2 linked regions of the Coturnix japonica genome follow. The protein of the gene in region 2 interacts with the protein of the main gene of each other region in a pairwise test. Links are inferred from orthologs where the notes say so. Each region holds a gene or a part of one and is shown on either strand. Other genes may lie near its edges.

Region 1 (3,818 bases), on a different chromosome or scaffold from region 2:
TGTGGATCACATTTTTTATGTTGAAACAACATTGAGATGCATTCTTTTAGGCAAGCATAATAGATTTATTAAAATTTCACAGAGAGGTTACAAACGATGGAGAAAAACATCCTTCATTAAACAAGAGCTATCACAAAATACACCTAGAACTTCCATAACTCGCTGCTGTGATTAATATAATGCAGCAAACTTTTAAAAGGGAGAAAAGACCAATAAAATTAACTAACACATTCTACTGCTACAAACATACGGACTGATCAAAGCTCTTCCTAAATACCGTACAACTAATCTTTGCATCAACCTCCTGAAAAGAAGGAAATCCACAGGAAGAAAAGTGCCTCAGAACATAATAACAAGAAAATTGAGCCTTTCTTGACTATGGCCCTGCAGAACTCTACTTCCATGGATGGATGAAAGATCCCTGCAAATATGTAAGCATCAAAGAAAGAGAGGAAAAACATTCAGGATGTTGAAATAAGATAAGTTCAGGTCCAAACACATTACGTTGCATAAAGGTAAGTGTAGACAAAATACAGGATTGTGAAAAATATTGTAAAGCATTTTCAATTTGCTGTAGAAAGGGCCCGAAAGAGGGAATGGCCAAGAACTTTTAAAAATAAACAGAAGAGGACAAGGAGCTCACAAAGAAACAAATTCTGACAGCCTAAAGCTGGACATAATACCCTGCATGAGATTATAGGACTTTTCTTGTTCTAAGAACCATGAATTTATGAACTGCCAGCCTCCGTGCCATTTCAACAGCTGGAAAACATAACAATCTTCCCTATTAACCTCAAGGAGGGTCTGAAAATTCCCCATCAAGGCTCTGGCTATAGCTACTACTTCATATAAGACCAGAATAAGCCTTTATCACAGTGCTATAGACAGGAAAAGAAGATGGCAGACAACAGCAGTTCTCTGGAAAAGCCAACTCTTGCACTCTCCAGAAAAGCCTGATCAGGAATGCAGATCTCTTAGTTCCCCAGTTACAGCAGCCACTTGTACTTTACACTGCAAGCAACTGCAAAGTGGTTAGTCCATTCGGGCAAGATACTCAACAGCAGCATTCAACCACTTCCCACTCAGTCAGTAATCTTCCTCGTTCAGAAAACGTAATTGGGATGGGTTGAGGTGAAATACATGTCATCTGGATATGTACTTTACTTGACGCTCTTAGCAAAAGCCTGTGGCCATTACCATTGTTTCTTGATGCCCAAGAGCAGTTGCCAGTCAGCAGCTCTAGCTGACAACTTACTGAGACACACTACAAGCAGTAAGTTACATTGCAAGAATATGTTGTGACATTGCTTCCATTTACCTGAAGGAAATCATAGAATCTCCTGATCTTTCTCCCTAACCATTCACCCTTCCTAGGTTGCTATGAATTATACATATCAATGGACATACACACAGGTCTTGGACTGGATCTGCAGTTAGATAATCTGGCTTTAAAACCAAACAGTGGTCAAAATAAATTCAGTTCTCTGCTTTGTCTTCAACTATCATAAGGAAAAGAATAGGATCTTTTATTATTTGCCTTTCTTCCTAAGCAAGAGCTAGTTTGCCTTTAGATGCAGTAGCAGGGCCTATCTGTTCCATTTGGAAGGTACTGAACAAAAGTATTTACATACTGAGAGAGAAATGCAACCGTACCATTCAAATCCGCATTCTCAAATCTGACCCATATGATCTTCTCCTTTTCTTCTGCTGGAGGAGTACCACTGTAGGCCTGGGCAAAAAGCAAAAGGCTCAAAATAAGAAAATGTAACACCCATTTTTTCCTCCCTGTATAGAACACAGAAGAGACTATGAAGTTAATAAATAAACAGGTATACCTGTACCTTACAGTCACAGCCAGTATTACTGTGACATTTTGCTTCTAAGAGGAATGAGTCCATGATCAACACGCAGCATGCTGGGTGTAACTCAAAGTTCTAACATCACTCACTGAAGCAGACACACACAGCAATAAACCCTGTGCAGCAGGTCAGAAATGCTACAGGACCCACAGCCATTTAGTCAGGCTAAAATAGAGTGACTTCTGCCATGTTTAACTTCTAGCAGTGGCACACTGCTTCTAAGAGCAACATCAGGGGTTCTCACAAGAAGCATTTTTATTCTTAAAACTTATTTTATTCATTTAAATGCTTTGTAAGCAAAAATGAAGAAAGAAACACTTTTACTACAGTTTATTTTACTGACACGTTGTAATTACATGCGTGACATCTTTAATACAGCCATTTTAAAAGAATAAGCTGTAATTCCAGTAAAACAAATCTGCGTTTCAGTTCTGCGTTCTACAAATTCCCATAAGATGAGATGCAAAAAGAAACTCTGAAGGAGACTTGCAGTGTTTCCAACCTGTGTGCTTTACAGTTCTCAGGAGAAAGTGTGGTATTAAGAATGTGAGCTACAGTAGAAATACCATCACTTCCAAATGAATTAGGGCAAAATGCAGTGCAATATATTGGAATAAATATGAAAAGAGACCATATAATCACTTTATACATGCCAGAAAAGCAATAACACAAGCTAAAAATGCAGATTTAAAAAGTAAGTGTGGGTATTACTTCTCCAAACAGATCACATTCCATGTTTCCAAGGCAAACTGATTTGTACAATAAAACACAGACTGTACCCTTTAACTACAGAGAGAAAAGCAAAGGCAGGAAGGGGGGGATAGGGAACGTAGCAATCTTTTAAATGAAAGTTTGACTAATTTAATTTTGACCATGAGTCCAAAAATGCATTTCACAAGCCAATACCAGCAAGGGGATTTCTTCTTATTATTATTATTACCATTAAAAAAATTCATGACTTCAGTTATCCAAGATGGTTCTTATTTGAATGACTAAGAGAGTTTCCTGAGGCTATGGGCAATTAGCTGCAACACTTCACTACTGACTGCAGCCTTCCAACACTGCTTTCCCTCTGCTATTGAGAGGCCCAGGAGCAATACAGAAATGACCATTTCATGCTGCTGCTACCTGTGAAAACTACAAAACCAGAAGCACTGTATTTCTCCACAGAAGGAACAAAAAGGGACAAAAGAAGACAAAAAGGGAAAGGAAGAAAGCAGAAGGCAGACTTCTGCTTCGCTACTGAAAAGACAGCTTTTAAGACATGCACATACCTGTGGCACAACGTCTTGAAGAAAAGTAACAACACTTTCCATATATGACTGCTCCCTTGAAAACAGAAGGAGAATTTTTCACTACTACTGGAGTCCATTAGTGGTTAGGGATATATTAAATAAGGCGTTGACAGAGAAAACAAACACGACAACACAGAAAATTACTAAGGATGCAGTGTAGTTACTCAATAGGCTGTCACACACTGACAACATATACACAAAGTGACCTAAAAGTATGTTAAATGTGAATTGATACCTATTCATGAAACAGCTGCTCAGGAAAAGGCGTAAAACATAACAGAGGAAACCATGTACTCCACGTTAGAATAATCAGAGCAAAAAAGGCTTTTGGAAATCACTTCTCAGTGTTTTTCTACTTGAACTGGATCTTATGCCATATAAGAGTGCTTACAGCAAGGGCTGGAGCTTCCCTTGTGGGGCCTGTAAACTTTATGACCTCAGGTACACTATGTACAATGACAAAGTAAATGGAAACAACAGTGGGCGGAACCAAAACCCAACCAGGATGAGCAAGGTTCCAATTTTACAGCTTGAAGAACTTACTCCTTCTTGGAAGTTCATTAGCAGCAATGAATAGGATATATTGCAAGATATACTGGATCTGCTACATTTAAACTAACATTTTTATTAGCTTATCCTTGCATGAGTGGTGAGGCTCTTGTGT
Region 2 (3,818 bases):
AGGACAAGTTATGCATCAGCCTCTATCATTCTTGCTGCTGATTCCACAGCAAATTAAAGCTGAACTGAATTTGAAGTGAAGTCTCAGGCTGTAGCATCAACGTGCATCCATTCTTGTCAACTGGGATTGCAGAGAACAGCCCTCAATGATGTCTCCCAGGCCAGGAGAACGTGACTGAGTTTTGTTTTGCTTCCAATCGTTTAAAATAAGGTTATTTTTGAAAACACCTACAACTGCACTGCAAAGAGCCTAAGGGTGTTCTTTGTGTCACCAATACCTGCAGTGAGTAGGCGAAGCCGTAAACCTGAGGGTCCAGTCCCGTCTCTCAGCACATCGACGTTCTCAGCATACACATTGCCAAGGAAACAGCTGAGTGGCATCAAGGGAGCCCTGAAACAACCACACAAACACATACATGGGACACAGTCTTCCAATGTACCATTACCAAGTTGATGGCAGTTCGCTGGAACAGAGCATGTTAATTTAGACGAAGCAGCATTGAGCTCAGACTGAAGATGAAAAGTTAAATTTCACATCAGGATTAGAAATCCTGGAGAAAAAGAAAAGGAATAACAAGGTAAGATTCAAACAAAGGACCCTTACTATTAATGAAACCAACAGCAAGTTTCAAAAACTCTAGAAATTACTACATCTAGCTTCCAAATAGCTCCTATGAAGATGTGCCATTTCAGACTTTGTGCAGCAAAATAGAGGTTGTATGATCTTTAAAGGTACTTACTACGTGAACTAGCTACATCACCTAAGTGCAGCAGAAGCATTTTAAACGTGTGCCCTCACTGCCCCTGGTAACCCGTAGTCATAGAAACACAGAATCATAGAACAGCCTGTGTTGAAAAGGCCCACAATGCTCATCCAGTTCCAACCTCTAGCTATGTGCAGGGTCGCCATCCACCAGACCAGGCTGCCCAGAGCCACATCCAGCCTGGCCTCAAATGCCTGCAGGGATGGGGCATCCACAGCCTCCTTGGGCAACCTGTTCCAGTGCGTCACCACCCTCTGGGTGAAAAACTTCCTCTTAATATCCAAGCTTAACCTCCCCTGTCTCAGTTTAAGACCATTCCCCCTTGTTCTATCACTGTCCACCCTTGTGAACAGCCATTCCTCCTCCTGTTTATATGCTCCTTTCAAGTACTGGAAGGTCACAATGAGGTCTCTCCAGAGCCTTCTCCAAGCTAAACAATCCCAGTTCCCTCAACCTTTCCTCATAGGAGAGCTGCTCCAGCCCTCTGAAATCTTAGTGGCCTCCTCTGGACCTGCTCCAAGAGCTCCACGTCCTTCCTGTACTGGGGGCCCCAGGCCTGGATGCAGCACTGCAGATGGAGCTGAGTAGAGGGGACAATCAACTCCCACTCCCTGCTGGTCACCCCTTTTCTAATGCAGCCCAGAACACAGTTGGCCTTTTGGGCTGCAAGTGCACAATGCTGGCTCATATCTGGCTTCTCATCCTCCATGATGTCCAGAACGTAAAAGCAGCTTGTGTAGATAAACCACACACAATCACTTTACTTTCCTGGGACAGGTCTCGTTTTAATTCAATTTCAATAATATTTGAGAAAACTATCCCAGGAACCAGCAAGATACTTTCAATCAAACAGCTGCTTTATTTGTGTTTGATGGGGCTTTCTCCCAGTGGCTGAAGCTGCAGGGCAGGTGCTAAGCTGGCAAACATGTGCAGCACAGCCCTGTATCAGTGCATGCTCTCACTGTAGCACAGCATGGCGTGGATGGACCCAGACAACATTTCTCTAAAGTGCATATTTCTAATTAAGAGACAGTGTTCATGTAAACAAGGTTTCCTCCTTCCTTAGCAGCAAGCTACTGATGCATTAACCTTCTCTTGCCATTAAATTGCAATCATCTAGTTTTAACTTGAGTAGCAAACTCCAGGAACAGAGTTTCTAGAAGAAGCAAAACATCAAATGCTGTACAAAAAATTACTGCGTAGAAGAGGGCAGAACACAATGCCACAGAAAACACTAACTATGCTCAAACACAACTATTCCATCAGTTACCTCATGGGAGCAGTAAACTGAGACAGGGAATTGAAGACATATAGGCTATATGGTAGATTACACATATAGCTTAAGTTTTAAAATAATTTATTTTTATATTGCAAGAGAGTGTAAGACTCTTGGCAGGGTTCTGCCATGATGTAAATGGCACCAACATACTATGAACTGACTGACGGCCTACCACAAGGAGTTGCATTTGTCTAGAAAAAGGTTGTGAGTAGACAAAAAACAGAGTATAAGCAGCATGTAAGAATAATCAGGCTTTCACTACCTTTCCTCCTTCATCTGATGAATTAATCTGAATTAGCCTACAATAGATAGACCAAGCTGATTTCATAGTAACAAGAATCACACCAGCACCTGATAACAAGGCTGGACGGTACTGGTATGCCTATGGTGACTGGAAAGAGGTTTATATATGTAAAGGCATTCTGCATACCTAATTCCTAGAAGACTGAAATAAAAAACTGAGCATATATAATCACATTTAGCATTTGCAAAACCCTACATAAATGAGGAGGAAATAGCGCAAATAGTAAATAATCAAAACTGTGCAACCAGCCATACGCACTTGGTATCCTGCAGGCTATTTCCATTGTAGATGTACATACGTTTCACAGTCGCACCATGTGGAATTTGCAGAGAAGCCAGACCATGCGCGAAGTTAGGCTGAGGAGAGAGAATCACCCTTGTTAACCTTACACAGTAGAAACTCTTCAGGTCAAATATTACATTAGAAATACAGTACATACTTACCAACCCAGGTGAGTCTAACACGTGGAGGCAAAAAGTAAAAATATCCACCCTTGTACATGGTGTGAGTTTACATTACACTACTCAGGGATTCCAAAGTTGGGATGAAATACTCACTACACCGATCCACCAAAAGATGGCACTAGTTTGTCAATTAGCCATGTGTGCAGCGTGTGCAATAAGAATTCAAGTATTCTTGGTTTTACCACCACGAACTAGAAATTTAAGAACATTTGAACTTATAGCCTATTTCTGAGAACTTAAATACAACCTATTTAAAGGCTGAAATTCTTTTTTCTCTTCTACTGCATTAATTTAATCCTTTTAACACTGATGCTGGTTTGCAAAATGCCTTTACCTGGTAAACACTCACTCATTGCATAGATCTTCTGCTCTACTTATCATCACATTCTTACACTTTCAGACCTTTGGTACAAAAACTGAACTTCTTAGGAACTCAGCCATTTAATTTACAGATGCATTTGCAACTCGTACAAGAAAAGGTACTTTCTTGGGATATTCTATTTGGATTATGATTAGCTTTCAGCTTTTCTCCTTCGGATAAGGATGGAGGGGAATGCCAAGAAGGCTACTGTCCTGGTTATAGGCCACCCAACCAGGATGAAGAGGCAGATTCTACAAGCAGCCAGCAGAAGTCACACAACTGCTCATATTTGTTCTTGCTGGGCATTTGAATTTACAGATGTCTGCTTGAAATATAGTAGAGCAGAGAGAAACGGTCTAGGAAGCTCTTAGGGTGTGTGGAAGGCAGCTTCCTGACACAGCTGGTAAGAGCCTGCCACAGGAGGTGCCCCACTACACCTGCTGTTTACAAAGAAGGACTGGTGTGATGGTCAGAAGCCACTTTGGGCGTAGTGACCATGAAACGATACAGTTCTCTGCTGTTGCATAAGTCAGGAAGGGGGTCAACAAAAATGCTACTTTGGACTTCTGAAGGGCTGCCTAGGACACTGGTTAGGAGAGACCCTTTGGAAACAGTTTACCAACTTTGGAATAAGGGTCAGTCAGTTC

Evidence for each region.
Region 1: the proteins of C11H16orf70 (region 2) and BCAS3 interact in binary tests that used the Homo sapiens proteins (3 or more experiments, as listed by UniProt). The link is inferred for Coturnix japonica from reciprocal best matches to the Homo sapiens genes PHAF1 and BCAS3.

Annotation. Positions count from the first base shown.
Region 1 is NC_029534.1:6,694,539-6,698,356, forward strand, and holds part of BCAS3 (breast carcinoma-amplified sequence 3), read right to left. Parts: intron 3,189-3,818; coding exon 3,134-3,188; intron 1,730-3,133; coding exon 1,654-1,729; intron 1-1,653. UniProt on the Homo sapiens protein: Plays a role in angiogenesis. Participates in the regulation of cell polarity and directional endothelial cell migration by mediating both the activation and recruitment of CDC42 and the reorganization of the actin cytoskeleton at the cell leading edge.
Region 2 is NC_029526.1:282,914-286,731, forward strand, and holds part of C11H16orf70 (UPF0183 protein C16orf70 homolog), read right to left. Parts: intron 2,703-3,818; coding exon 2,605-2,702; intron 391-2,604; coding exon 278-390; intron 1-277. UniProt on the Homo sapiens protein: Plays a regulatory role in autophagic activity. In complex with BCAS3, associates with the autophagosome formation site during both non-selective and selective autophagy.